2 linked regions of the Styela clava genome follow. The protein of the gene in region 1 interacts with the protein of each later gene in a pairwise test. Links are inferred from orthologs where the notes say so. Each region holds a gene or a part of one and is shown on either strand. Other genes may lie near its edges.

Region 1 (7,894 bases):
GAAAACTTTTGCTGATCGATGAACCTTCAAAATATCGATAACGGAAAACCTAATTGGACAAATGTGATTACGACAAAGCTATGCAATTCGAGAGCAAAATTTTAATGAGAAATTTGCTGCTTTTTTTTGATAGCATACGTGTTAGACGCGGCTCCAATGAACACGATATCTCTGTTTGGTCTTGGTGGCAGATACCGGTAAGAAGCTTTCTCACATAAGTACGACAAGTTCACGCATCAAGTACACAAAATCGGCAGTGATATAATGGCTTTGTCGCGGAGATCGGGATATTTATTTTTACAATGTCATCCAATCGTTTATTTAGAGCTTGAAATGGGCGTAGGACCTCAGACCAAGTTTGGTTTACGCATCAATAGGAGGTAAAACTCTTACGGCGGACGTCAAAAGACACTGGCGGACAACCCGCGACGCTACTCAAGCGTTTCTGTGGACTGATTAACGCCCTATGGCGGATTTAAAGTGGGAGTCCCCAAATCAGGCCCATGGCACTAATACTTTCGCTCCGAAAATATTCGTACCAAGATGACGCACAACCTAACCTGGTACAGGTAAGATACTGTGTTCAGGTTGTGCGCCATCTTGATACGAATACTTCGGGAGCACCCTAATACTGAGCTGTGAAGGCTACGATATAGGAGCGTCGGCATACCCCAATGGTGGCCTATCAAGTGGCTATCGTGAAGCTGACACAATACGGCTTGGCCCATACCACCAAATCCTAAATATATGGTTCCATTACATTTGACTTGAAGACACAAATTGACTTAAGAGTTAAGGTTACCACTGTCAGACTTGAGGGCTGCAGAATGTATCTTTTTGCTCGAGCTTTCTTTGAAATGAGATGGAATAGAAGCCACATATATATATATTGACTTTAATGGATGGCCCACTATAACATATTAGGCTGGGAGATAAAAGTCAAATCCACCAGGACTAAAACATGTATCAAAGAAGTGCTGTGTATCTCCCATGATATGTCAATATCAAATCCGTTTGGAATATAAGATCCCAATGATAATCACCAAATGATGTAATATCATTTTGGAAAACGTTTGAAATTTGAGTACAATAAAAAACAGAAGTAAACATTGGTAAGAATATGCCAATAAAAAGTCTTTCAAGAAACTCGTATATACTTACACTGCTCCTACGCTCTGTTCACCACACACTTTTGATTACCGCATATATACCGTATTCACTTTATTAGTACTTTATGAACATGCAGTTCACAGTCCGTGTCACACAATACAGCATATCAGGGGATCCAAACCGCGGGTCAATTGCGGCCCGCGTAACGATTTAAAAAGGCCCGCCGAACTTTATTGCAATAGTTTAATGGTGAAACGTAAATGAATACCAATACAGTACGTTTAACACTTCAAGTGTTTACCTTCTTGCGCTCTGGATACGGCAAATTGTTACATTATTTTCACACTTTGAGCACGTGTATGTTCGTAATAATTCAATTATAACGGTATTTTTTGTATACGTACCTGCAATAGAATTACATACGGCGGTATTTTATTTATCAACCCTAAATTAAGGAAGCTTAAAGATGTTAAAAAAACAAAAACTAGACACTGAAAAAAGGACGTTTTTGGATAAATGGCAGTGTTCTTATTTCTTTTTTGAAAAGAATCAAATTTCAGTGATTTGTCTTCCTTGCCAACAAGATATTCCAGTTCTGATGCAATATAACATTGGACGCGATTATGAGACGAAGCATTATCAAATTATGATCAGTTGAAGCGTGAGCGGCGTTTTTCAAAATTTAATTCGTCGTTAAATTCAGACAAAAGTCAAACGAAGATCATAAAACGTCAAATGAAAGTGAATCCACGTTATTGACCAGTTATATTGTAACGTCGCTAAAAATAATCGCCCGTTTGCTGAAGAGGAATTTTTCCGCGAATGTATTCTGCAAGTTTTGGAAGACATTTCTCCTAATATAAAAAGTAAATTTTCCAGCTATAGTCTAACAACACAATCATGAACCATTACAAATCAAAATTTCAGTCCAGACTGGCAGATATCCCACAATACAACGTACCGAATTGGGGCCACGTTTTAACATCTGATTTCGATCAAATTTTGTTGGTTTTTCGTTATTTTTATTCGGGGGAGTTGGGGCATTTCGTGCAAAAATCCAGGGTCGGCACATTTCGTCGCTACGCCACTGATTAGAGATTCTGTTTCAGATACCCTCTCGCATTTCCTTCAGAATGAATTTATAATGTACCAATTTGTAGTAAATATTAGTACATTCCACATAATACAAATAATTTGAGCTTCATTTCATTTGAAATGGTTGATATTGTTACAAACCCATTATCACACAAATTTTTATACTTCCATAAAGTTAACAGCTGGTGAGTATTTGTGATGGGTTGGTTTTCTTTAACAGAGTGAATATATTGTAGACTACAGTGGCGGCGCGTGGTCATTTTGACAACCGGGTCAAGCTACTGCGGGACCAAGTCACCCCCATCTACGGGGACAGGATGAGCGCTGTAAGTTCTCCCATCATTTTATGAGTATAAAAACCATTCCATCGGTAACAACCAATCGGCAAAAGCGACAATTTTTAACGATAAGAAAGTGTATTTAAAACCGGTCCAAGTCAAGGGATTAATAAATATAGACATAGTTTATTTTGAAACCTCTTTCAAAAGGAAAGGCAATATTTACCCAGATAAAAACAATGACATATCAACAGAAACTTCGGAAAATATTAACATTTCCGAATGTTCGGTATTTTACTGCATTGTCCAGATGCTCCATAGAAGATTGATGATCCCTGGCACGCTCGGATCACGGGCGGTACAAAAAAAGCAGGCAATAAAAACAGAAAAGTGCATTTTTGTCCTCGCTGTAACACAACCATTCGTGTTTTTAATACCAAGTTTCTGCGCAGAATGTAGGCCGACGCTTTCCTCCGTCATGGGATTGTTCCAGTGAACAATTTTTTGGTTGATAAGGCCCAAGACGTTGTACTTCTAATTTTTGTTCCAGCGGCAGCTGCGAAAACGGAGTGCGAAGTAGTGCATCAACCTTATTCATAATGAGGTCTAAGGCTAAGAAATGCGAAGCCGGAAAGAAGTGAGGAAGGAGCTCAAAAGAAATGTGGAAAATCGAAAGCAAATGGACTAAAGGTCGCTAACTGATTCAAATAGCGAAACAAGCGACAAAAACGAAGGCGAGGAAACTATCAACTCTTCAAGCAACCAACGAACGAGAAGGAATGCGTGAACATGTCAACACGTTGTTGTAAGAAACGTCGGCATTGTGTCGTCATAATTTCGGGGCTAGCCCCGATCGGCCCCGATGATTTAGTAAAAGAAACAGAAAACAAACGAGACAAACGCGGCGAATGGAAGATAAAAGAGAGAATACGATATACAATGAGCAACCGGGGCAAAATCGGCGTCGCCCCGTCGACGTTCGGCGAAGGATTTGCGAGCGAAAAATGAACCATGTCGGGAGAATATGGCTAGTGTAGACAGTCTGTGCAACCGATATTGAGGTATTTTTCGAATATTTTTTATTATACCGAAAAAACAACCGGGGCATTGCCCCGGTTGGCCCTATTGACGCGCCGCCACTGGTAGACTACACAAATGGTGGCCTAATCACTCGACAATTTTTAATAATTCTGTACAAAACATACTATCGTAATATATTGTCACATCGATTGACACGTTTAGCGCCTATTACCTTTCTAAAATAATCATGGGAAGTAGGTGGGTCAGCCGAAATAAAACATTTCGTAAAAGAAGAGTGTCAAGTCACATGAGTTTAAGTTTAAAATTTATAGAGGCATATAATATTTTGGCGAAAGCAAAAAATTTTAAAAAGCTTCTGCCATCAAACTGGATTTTAACCACAAACTATTTTTCAAATGAACAGCCATGGCCATGCCTTCACGTTCATTGTACCAAGTCATGACATTTTAATATTTACCACGCATCGCAACAATCTATTTTCCATAATACAAAATTTGTTTTTAATTAAAGATGCGTTGATCAATGCACACACTTGAAATGATAACAAAAAAGAAGTTTTAGTGAAGTTTAGATAATTAAAAATCTGGCGAGCGAGTTCACCAGCACAACCATTGCAACACTTGTCCATTTTGCAAACCAGCACCAATTGTTACTGCTTCAAAATCAATTTGAATACTAAGAGGAAAAAATAAAATCAACTAAAAATATATGTACCTCAATCTGTATTCAATAATATGGGATATGCAGACAAAATATATTTAGTAACATATATATGTGTTGTTTATAGAAAAATGAATTTTGTCTGAAGGAAACATAATTGATAAGAGAGTTGTAAATATGTTCGCGTATTAGCAAAATTATGGTTGAGATCCCAGATAAGTCATAGTAGACACTTGGAAAAAGAAGCATAAATAATTACCATCTGTCGATTTCTTTCATATGGGAGTGCTAAAAATTTGAAATTGATTGGCACATTAGTTTCGAGAAAAGGGAAAGATTTTCTAACAACAGCAATCATCCCAACATCAGCACTTCTTGTTCTATGTGTTGTGGTTGAACACATGTGGCGCGCAAGCACAGAGATGATCAAATTTCATTGCCATGGTTACCAATCCAATCACCGAGTTGTTGCTGACGCTCTGGATCGAAACTTACCTCGGTCGTCTTTTTGATCGAATCTAAATTAGTATTATTACTATTTAATTAGCGAAAATTATAAAAGAACAGATTTAATTTGGGATCATGTCTCTTCCGTGTCTACCTGGAAACAATTTTAATCTCAGGGTGAGTTTGCTTCAGTACTTTGTTGTTAATCCAGTAGCCTAATCTCATACGCTAGAACTGCAGAAAGGCACTAAATCTGGAAAATGTTTTATGGTAATTTCCCCCTTGAATATTGAATCTCGAAATTTGCTAATAAATGTTCATATGACTGCAATTTCTGGAATAAAAAGTAAAGGTCAAAACGGTAAAAACCGATTGCCGTATCGCTTTCAATACCATTTGTATGTGGGATGTTTGGATCAAGTACATTCTTCAATTTTGCATATGAGAACTTGAAATTTCGTTTTCTTGATGAATCGGTTTCCGTTTCACCCTTTCTAACAAAGGTTGGTATTGATTAGATTCAATTTAACTAAGTAAAATAGACAACATTATACGGTTATATATAAAGAATAAAATACAAATAACGATAAATACAAATACTGACTGAAAAAATATTACAATGCAGGGCTTCGGGAACTGAATATCTTTCAGCAATACCCTATACCTATATTTTATCAGAACATATTTTATGACACTTTCACTAATATACTTTATATCACTAATAAAGTAGTACACAATGCTGCTGATAGTGTCTATTTATTTCACCACATCATTTTTAAACATGGGGAACTTATTTAAGATAGTGTGGTTTATCTCATGATATTGAATTTAAAAAGATTTATAGGCTACCTGAGTTTTAATATTATAAAAATTATAAATATATTATAAAAATTTTGGTTAATTTTGAGCATTTGGATAATGTGATTCTCAGTAGTTTTGTCCCATACAGTGTCAACATTGATTTTTATTGTCAGACATTTTCAATTGGAATATCATTAATCTAATATTGCACCAACAATATTTTGATGACAAATGTTTTGAAACAGCTTGGGAAAGAGAGATTTCACAAATCACATCATTTCGATTATAACAATGAAGTAGCAATGTTGACTGGAGAAGAGAAACCAGGGATTGGTGGAGAACCGTTACTTGGTCAGAAGAAAAAACCTAAGAACAGTGTTTTTCCAAGAGGAGAGGGAAGCAATGCACCAACATGGGTGGCATTCGATAGGCAGGTGTGTGGGTTAGTTGGTAATCCTAATAAATGTCAAGACTAAACTGGATTTATGTGCATGATTTAGGTTGTTTTGGACTATGATATTTTATGTTCCTGTTTTGATTTAAAGTAAAGGTCTAGTTACTGAAATATATATTATAGAATCAAGATGAAAAATTCATCTTGCTGGACTCAAAGCTTCATCTTTAATGAATCGGGCACTGTGTTATTGATTATGTTTCGATAATATAGAAAATTCATGAAAGAATAAATAAATTATTTGCAAACCACTCTCACCTACTTAATTCACTAGTCCCACTTTATTATTACTTTATTTAATATTATCATTGGTCAAGCAATAATGAATATTGCTTTTCTTTTGATGTCAGGTCTTATGCTTTCAAGCCTATTTCCAAGAGGCTGTGCATGAAAAACGGGAAGAACAGTTTCGTATTCGAAATTGTAAAATCTATTTTTACTTGGAGGATGATTCTATACAAGTGATCGAACCAACGGTAATAATGAACCTATATTATTGTCTATTTTTTCGCAAAGTTGTGTTTTATTTAGATACTTGCATACTGTTCACTCTTTTAAGGAGCTACAATATTAACTCATTAGCTGAATTCTTTTTTCAGGTTAAAAATTCTGGAATTCCTCAAGGAACTTTAATCAGACGCCACAGAATTCCCTTACCAGCTCCAAATGATGATCAGTTTTATACTGTTGAACATTTCAATGTGGGAAATGAGATTGTTCTTTATGGAAGGTGAGTATTAAGCCTTTATTTTAAGTTCAACAAATAATGAATGGAAAAGTATTATCCAGTAAAATAACTTGCAGGATGATACTTTATTACCATTAAAAAATCGCAGTGTATCAAATAATGTATTGGTAATTAATTTATAATTTTTTTGACAGAAAATTCAAGTTGATGGATTGTGATGAATTCACCCGTAATTTCTTGCGTAAACTCGGGGTACGAGTGTCCAACTCGGAAAGAACTCCAGATGATCCATATACATCATTGAGACAGGACGTACGTATGTTTTGACTGATTGTATATGTTTCTTTTTTTAACGAACCATTTTTGTTCATTTTGTAATTTTATAATAGGGAAATCTATCATTTCTGACAGACAATCGATATTATATATTCCACTAAATGGCTGATAGCATTAAGACTCCCAGCTCTAGTGAAATGGGAAATAAAAAATCTTGTATATTCCACCAACCCCCTACCCCCCATTTTGAAAGTATAGTGTGTTATGGATTTTCAAAATTCTAGAGACAAATATTTTTAAAAAATTAATATGGAGTAGTAATGGAATATGATGGTGTAAAAAATACTATGTTATGTTGCAGATGGAGGAAAGCATGCAACCTCTTCGACCATATGAACGCACTGATACATTGAAACAATTCTTGAGCCATGATAGACATGTTCTGAGGTAAACTGAAATTCAATTGAATTTGTTGGTTTGCATCTACCAGTGATGGTTAATTTATTTTATTTTTTAGATTTTGGTGTTTTTGGGATGACGGTGATTGTATGTTCGGAGATACAAGGGAAATGGTGAGGCTTGACAATATTTTCCTATCAACTCTTGTATTGACAAAAGATAGAAACTTCTTTGCACATCAATAGTTGTTTTTGGGGTACTCCTGTAGTATGCGAACCAAGATGACGGGCACAGGGACGTAGTATGTGTACGTATGAGTGTGAACATGGAATATCCAAGTACTGGTGTATGAATATTATGATTTGAATTACTAATCAATGACTTTGAGCTTGGGAGATTTACATCGAAATCTTACGTGGGATGATTATTTAAAAAAATTCACAATAGTCTTTTGTCTGAACAAATGTCTGAAATATGTTTTCAAATGGTTCCGACTCTTAGCTTATGTGTATACTTATATGAGTACCAAAACAAAGGCATTTGTGTTTATGTGTCTGTGCTACACATAGCTAACCATTGCTTGTCTTTCTTGATCAAGGTTCTCCATTATTTTCTTGCTGATGACACGGTTGAAATTCGCGAAGT
Region 2 (7,890 bases), on another chromosome or scaffold:
TAACGATACAAATAATGATATAAGACAAAAAAATATTTACATATATATATAGAATCTACAATGAGACAAGACATGGAAATAAAGAGGAGGTTATAGAAAGGTAAAAGTTGTGTAAAGTAGAATTCAAAGAGAATGGTGTATTTTTACTTTGGATTTTTTGTTTTGGACGGTTAAAACATATTCTCAATTAAATGTACTTTGCTACGCTAAAAATACTTACACTCGCATTGTTACCATTTTGTGAAATAGTTGGTCTATCCATGTCGGGAAGAAAAAAAAAATTTTAAAGTTTATACCACCTGGGCTTTTTGAAAAAATACCGCTTTTGACACAATTTTTGACGAGCTTATTATTTCACTGTCCTATATGGCGGCATTGTAAATAATTAAAAGTATGACTCGCTCGAATCTACTTTTAGAAAGCATTTTAATACTAACGAAATCTATTTAATGGGAAGAGGAATGCTAACCACAAATTTTTAATAATATAAATCTTTTGAGGGGAATTTGAAATTCGAATATTCAAAGTATGTTACTCTCAATTAATTCTTAAGAATTGAAAGCCGAATTGAAACACCATATATATTTAGAAGAAGAAGAAGGACTTTACCTTAGTAACAGTTCATTGTTTTCATCAGTTCGTTTTTTGATCAGGTTTTCCACCTCGAATATATATATATATCATGTTCTATGAGAGTTCATTTCGATTGTTCGACAACACAGTCCATATTCATAATTTTAACGTTTCCATATTTTATTCGATTTAATTCATTGTTTCGTCATGATGTTTTGATTGTTCCGGCTTGTCAGCAATTTGATCCTTGAACGCTTTTGATGTGTATATATATGGTTTCTCATCAATCGTTGAGAGCTGCGGAAAGAAAACAGAGATATTAGATCAGCATGGGCCCCAATTTACGACTAATATGGTAGATGATGGAAAGGAAACTTATCTTTCGCTTGGTCAGCTTTTTGGTTGATTTCGTCAAATTGTTGCCTGTCCTGGTGTTGTCCGTACTTGTGGTTGAAACCGGTGATCCGGTCTGTTTCAGAAGGTTAATTCCAGTCGGTTTTGTCACCATTTATAGTGATTTGTTACCACTACACATAAATTGTTTGTTGACTGATCATCTTTGCGGATCATGACCCCAGTATTGACTGACAATAATTTTGTCTTGCGTTCGTTAACTCGAACTGTACATCTTTCGATAGCCTTCGGCCGTGGTAAATTGACGTTTGAAACACCCTATGAGTTTTATTCGTATATAGCAGTAATCTATGGATGATAGAAATAAATTCTGAGATACATATTGTTAAACTACTTCCGTAACAGACAATAAAATAGATGAATATGTAATCCCATATTTGATGTTAGTACGATGTTAGTTGGCATATATAGGTGGGTCAACAGCTACTAGACTACAGTCACTCTTAAGTAAGTTAGGCATTTTTGATACCAATTTTTCACAAAGTATGCAAACACCACATCATTTGATGGGATGCATGTCGCGCATATTTGTCTTAGGCCAGTAAGGTATTGAACATGTATCCCGTCTTAATTATTTTGTAGATACTGTTACAAATAAACACACATACATTTTACCTTGAATTCATGCTAAGAACAGGCCGAACTACTGTTAACGAGCAAAAAATTCCCCTCGTTTGTTTGCAAGCACTTCGGCGCGTTAAAGAACTTTAGTAAATACCAACGACTGGTGAATACCGATTCTCGGTAAAATGATAGAAGAAGGCACTTTACGAGACGTCTGTTTTGGCGCGCAAAAAAATCTCTCGAATATTAACGATACTTCGAGAATACCACTTTTGCCTTTTACGAGAAAGTGGGTGCTCTACTAACACGTTACGGTTAAACGATAAAGAAGTTGGGCGAATGGGGCCCCAGGTCGAGTATGGGATTAGTTAGCCAGTTTTTTTGTTTTCGGAAGCATGGACTTGATGGTGGAGGAAGCCGTAACGGACCATCGGTTACGTGAACCACCCTACGGCGGTGAGGAGTCCAGCAATCTTCTCGCACATTGTCATCCTGCATGGGATTCGAACCTGCGAACCCACGAATGGTAGTCAGGTGGGAGTTAGGAATACCATATGCAAATATGTTTGTGCCACATCAACTAAAAGGAGGACGGACTAAAAGTAGGCACTTGCAAATTAGGCACTTTTTTAGGCACTTATTAGACACTTTGGAAAAAAAATAAAAAGGGCGTAATACCTTTTAAAAACATAATTAATTAGTTAAAAATGGTCAAATGAAATGTTGAAAACGCAAATTGCAACGGGCAAACTCAATAACAATATTTAAAACGTAGTATTAAAGGCAGTCGCACGCGCTTGGTCACTACATATGCTAGGCACATATTTAGGCACTTCGAAAAATAAAGAAAATGGCAATTATCTCTAATAAAAGACAGAGACATAAACATATTACCCACACTGATTAGCCTGGGTAAATATCCAATAGATGCACTTGAGTCTAGTACTGGAATTTAGAAATAATAAATTGTTACCGGTAGGCACTTATTTAGGCACTTCGGAAAAAAGGTGAAATGGACGTAGTAGCTCCTAAAAAGGTAATGAATTAGTTCAAAATATTTAAATTAAATGTTGAACGCGAAAACTGCAACAGTTAAATCCAATAACGATTTTTAAAACGTAGTATTAAAGGGAGACGCACGCGCTCTGTCTCCACGTATGCTAGGCACATATTTGGGCACTTCGAAAAATAAAGAAAATGGCAATTATCATTAATAAAAGACAGAGAAATAAAAATATTACCCACACTGATTAGCCTGGGTAAATATCCAATAGATGCACTTGAGTCTTGTACCGGAATTTAGAAATAATAAATTGTTGCCGGTAGGCACTTTTTTAGGCACTTATTTAGGCACATCGAAAAAAAGGTGAAATGAGCGTAATAACTTTTAAAATGATAATTAATTAGTTGAAAATTGTCAAATTAAATATTGAACACGCAAATTGCAATGGGTGAACCGAATAACAATATTTAAAACGTAGTATTAAAAGGAGTCACACGCGCTCGGTCACCACATATGCTAGGCACATATTTAGGCACTTCGAAAAAAGAAGAAAATCGGAATTATCACCAATAGAAGATAGAGAATTCATTATTCTAGGAGTTACTACGGCCATTTCACCTTTTTTTCGAAGTGCCTAAATAAGTGCCTAAAAAGTGCCTACCGGTAACAATTTATTATTTCTAAATTCCAGTACTAGACTCAAGTGCATCTATTGGATATTTGCCCAGGCTAATCAGTGTGGGTAAAATTTTTATTACTCTGTCTTTTATTGGTGATAATTCTGATTTTCTTCTTTTTTCAAAGTGCCTAAATATGTGCCTAGCATATGTGATGACCGAGCGCGTGTGACTCCTTTTAATACTACGTTTTAAATATTGTTATTCGATTCGCCTATTGCAATTTGCGTGCTATACATTTAATTTGACAATTTATAACTAATTAATTATTATTTTAAAAGTTATTACGCCCATTTCACCTTTTTTTTCAATGTGCCTAAATAAGTGCCTAAAAAGTGCCTACCGGTAACAATTTATTATTTCTAAATTCCAGTACTAGACTCAAGTGCATCTATTGGATATTTACCCAGGCTAATCAGTGTGGGTAATATTTTTATTTTCCTGTCTTTTATTAGTGATAATTGCCATTTTCTTTATTCTTCGAAGTGCCTAAATATGTGCCTAGCATATGTGGTGACAGAGCGCGTGCGTCTCCCTTTAGTAATACGTTTTAAAAATCATTACAGTATTGGGTTTAACTGTTGCAATTTTCGCGTTCAACAATTAATTTAAATATTTTGAACTAATTCATTATCTTTCTAGGAGTTACTACGTCCATTTCACCTTTTTTTTCGATGTGCCTAAATAAGTGCCTAAAAAAGTGCCTACCGGTAACAATTTATTATTTCTAAATTCCAGTACTAGACTCAAGTGCATCTCTTAGATATTTACTCAGGCTAATCAGTGTGGGTAATATGTTTATTCACTGTCTTTTATTAGTGAATATGCCATTTTATTTATTTTTCGAACTGCATAAATATGTGCCTAGCATATGTGGTGACCAAGCGCGTGCGACTGCCTTTAATACTGCGTTTTAAATATTGCTATTGAGTTTGCCCGTTGCAATTTGCGTTTTCAACATTTAATTTGACCATTTTTAACTAATTAATTATGTTTTTAAAAGGTATTACGCCCTTTTTACTTTTTTTCCAAGGTGCCTAAATAAGTGCCTAATTTGCAAGTGCCTACTTTTAGTCCGTCCCAACTAAAAGTACGGTACTTACCGCTTTTAGTGAACCTGCGACGACTAAACTGGGGGCGGGTCTCATGTAGTTTCGTACCTAACGTACTTCTAGTAGGCGTAGCATAACAATTTCTTCACATCTCAATCCTAACCCCCACCTGACCCCACCATCCCAAAATTACGTCACTACGACGTCACAGTGACGTAATAGAGCCCTTCAAACTATGCGAACTGTCATCCAAGACGCGCAGACGAGAACCCGAAATCGAACAGCCATTTCTCTCGTTTTCTCCTCGCAACGATCCCGATAGGAGAGAGATCGCTGACGTTAGTCATTTCTTTATCGTCGGCGCCGATGCTATTTCGGGCGATCGTATGAGTATTTGGCAAGCTCTATGACGTGATTGTGACGTCGTAGTGACGTAATTATCGGATGGCGTAGTCAGGTGAGGGTTAGGATTGGCATGTCAAAAAATTGTTATGCTACACCTACTAGAAGTACGTTAGGTACGAAACTACACGAGACCCCTGGGGTCTGGTGTACGGTACGGTAACATTAGCGAAGTCAGACTGTACGGTGTAGGTCTCTGTGCGTTTATACTTTTGGACGGACAACTCACCAGCGACACCAGGCTTCTGCCTCTCACTCTCAGCCTTTCTGTAATCGAGTTGTCGTCTCTGGTGTTGCTTGTTTACTCAGTTGTCCGTCAGCCTCATACCGTAGATCAGTAGATTGAAAAATTGTTTCATTTTTTGAAAATATTGATGTACTGTATTTTATGATAACAACACAGACATAGTTATTCAATATCTGTATATGCATTTTTACGTTTTGGATTTTTTTCTTTTTCCTATAGCCTAATGCTTTACCGGTATATGATTATAATATTTGAATATACTTTAATTGATTGATTGAACTTGGGAATGTTATTTTTTCATTTACATGATCATTTGATGGATACATTGATTTTGTAGGCCCTATAGCCTAGTTCTCTTCCAGTGTTCAGAAACCGAAAGTCATGACATCTTACGTTGGTTCCAATGTTACAATAAACTGTGGGGATGTAATAGGTCATTGTCAGGGAATCGTGAAAGAAGTAGACCAAAAATCACAAACAATTACAATTTCCAATCCATATCGAAATGGTTTTAAATGCCCACATAATGAGATGACAATTCCGTCGTCTGATATCGTAGAAATCACCATCATTGATGGCCTTCTTTCAACATTGGAAACTAAGGATAAGAAATCCCCAAAAATTGGGTTATCAAGTGTAAAAAAAGAAAAAAGGCCTAAAAACAATGAAAGCCGACAAGTTGGTATTACAGATAGAATACCAATGCATTCTAGTTCACCACAACCTGGCTCGGAGTATAAAGGTGGGAAAAAGTATTCAAAAGTACGGAAGGGTTTATATAATCGGGATGACGATACGTTTGATAACAACCCGCAAGATATGACTGAAGATTTCGATTTTGTCAAGAATCTTGCTCTTTTTGATAAACTTGCTGTATACAATGAGATAAACTCTGGAAGTGATGGAGAAAGTATGAGAACTCCATCAAAACAGAGACATAGAAAGGTTGAAGAGAAATACAAGCATGACGAGTTCGTTCTACAAAAAGGGCCTGTAATATACCGACAAATAATAACAAATGAGGTGACCAAATACGAAGTTTCAGAATATTACACAGATGCAGGACTTGTAGTTCCCACTATTTCAAATGATACCTACATACAAATATTGCATGCTGCTGAACTTATGGGTTTCGGAATGGATAGACAAACTGAAATATTTGGAGCTAATGCAAGTCTCATGGCTCTATCTGTATTGGGTGGCTGTAATAGGCTTCATCCAAGAAATTCACATCAGCCCCCATCTGCAGTTGTAATGTGTGGGCCTCATAGAACAGGTGCTCAAGGTGTTGCAACAGCGAGGCATCTTTCAAATCATAATGTAAAAGTGAATGTGTTCATGCCCAATTTTGTTAAAATACATGCTTGCCTACAAGAAGAATTAAGACTATTGTCTCTAACAGATGCTGTTGTTATTAGCGAATATTCTGAATTACCTACAAATCCTGTTGATTTAATCATTTCTGCGATGGATGAAGAAGATTGTGAATTTTTATATCAGCAATCTTGGTATCAACATTCCGTTCGTTGGTGTAATGAAAATCGAGCTCCTTTAATGTGTCTCTCTCCACCAGCTGCATTACCTCCAGATTTGCATATAAAATGGTCTGTGTGTGCAGTACTGCCTTTTTCACTTTCAGCAAAATATGGTGCTTTATACATGATTGATGTAGGAATACCAGTGAGAGCATTTGAAAAACTAGGAATTCAGTATCAGTCGCCTTTCTGTGGTAAATCTTTCCTTCATTTACACAAAAGTAAATGAGAAATGTACAGTACTTGCTTTTTTAATCTTTTAAATGCATTTTGTACCGGTATAAATGTGAGTGTGACCTTGGTCATTCGTATATTAAAGGTTTACCATCTCTTGGAAAATGTGCTGGTTAAATAAACATATTTGTTTTTTTTTTGCTCCTTCATTCCATTTCTCAATTTTTATCTTCCTTTTATTAATCTCAATATTGGAGAAAAGGGTTGACAGATGATAATATGGCACCTTGTAAAGGTTTTTATGAATGTTTGATAACCAAGCAAGACTCCACCCAACTATATGTGTGTGGATGGAGAGTCCAAAAGATCACCACTAGTCCACACTGCAGCTAAATATAAATACGATGCCATCAGCATATTAAAAATATCCATCTCAAGAAATGACATTGCAATGTTTGGTACTTGACTACAGTGTATAAATAAACAGTTTGCTGAAGGGAATTTACTTATTTCTCCTTGAAATATACTTACAGAATACAGAAAAAATCTCATCTAGTAATTTTGTTATAAACTTGGTCATTGTTAACGCCTATATTGGGGATCATTTTTTTGCTTTAACAAACCATTTTTGCCATTTAATTTATTCATTCCACCCTTTTCTGTAGATTGATTGTATTTATAAAATGCTGTAGTAAATGAATGAAGAATTTCTACTACCGGTACTTGTTTTTTTGAACTGGTCAGTTTTAGCCAGTATTGGGTACTTACAATGTATCACCTAGTTCAATACTGATTTCTTTGACAAAATTCCATTTTCTACAGTTGTTTTTGTATGACAATGTTCATCTAATGCTATTTTCATTTTTCTGTAGATTTATTATGGGTTTTTTAAAGCTAATTTATAATGCTGAACTAGTTAGTACCTTGTAAATAGTCGATGTTCCATCACAATGAGGATTCACTTTAGACGTCCAGATTTTTCCGGAATAAAATTGAGATGGAGATATCTGAAACTATGTTACCTATCATTGACTTATAACACCTATTCATCTGCAACAGAAGTCCTTTTTGAGCCCATCATAACTCTAGTGGATTTTGTTTCAAGATGGTTTGGTTTCGCCTTTGTTACATTGGTGACAATACTGGTTGCATATGTTGTTGTGGTTTATTACTCAATTGCAGTACCATATCTCATCTTAGCATTTTCATCAATACGAGCTGGAATAACTATTTTCTACGGACATTATCT

The links. The genes of interacting proteins can lie anywhere in the genome.
Region 2: the proteins of EF-hand domain-containing family member C2-like (region 1) and enhancer of mRNA-decapping protein 3-like interact in binary tests that used the Homo sapiens proteins (3 or more experiments, as listed by UniProt). The link is inferred for Styela clava from reciprocal best matches to the Homo sapiens genes EFHC2 and EDC3.

The regions. Positions count from the first base shown.
Region 1 is NC_135256.1:24,087,283-24,095,176, reverse strand, and holds the start of EF-hand domain-containing family member C2-like, read left to right. Parts: upstream 1-4,875; 5' UTR 4,876-5,038; coding exon 5,039-5,134; intron 5,135-5,677; coding exon 5,678-5,866; intron 5,867-6,236; coding exon 6,237-6,362; intron 6,363-6,485; coding exon 6,486-6,616; intron 6,617-6,768; coding exon 6,769-6,886; intron 6,887-7,211; coding exon 7,212-7,297; intron 7,298-7,367; coding exon 7,368-7,422; intron 7,423-7,847; coding exon 7,848-7,894. UniProt on the Homo sapiens protein: Microtubule inner protein (MIP) part of the dynein-decorated doublet microtubules (DMTs) in cilia axoneme, which is required for motile cilia beating.
Region 2 is NC_135253.1:11,259,656-11,267,545, forward strand, and holds enhancer of mRNA-decapping protein 3-like, read left to right. Parts: upstream 1-4,873; 5' UTR 4,874-5,313; coding exon 5,314-6,696; 3' UTR 6,697-7,514; downstream 7,515-7,890. Other genes in the region: palmitoyltransferase ZDHHC16-like, read left to right, coding at 7,592-7,890. UniProt on the Homo sapiens protein: Binds single-stranded RNA. Involved in the process of mRNA degradation and in the positive regulation of mRNA decapping. May play a role in spermiogenesis and oogenesis.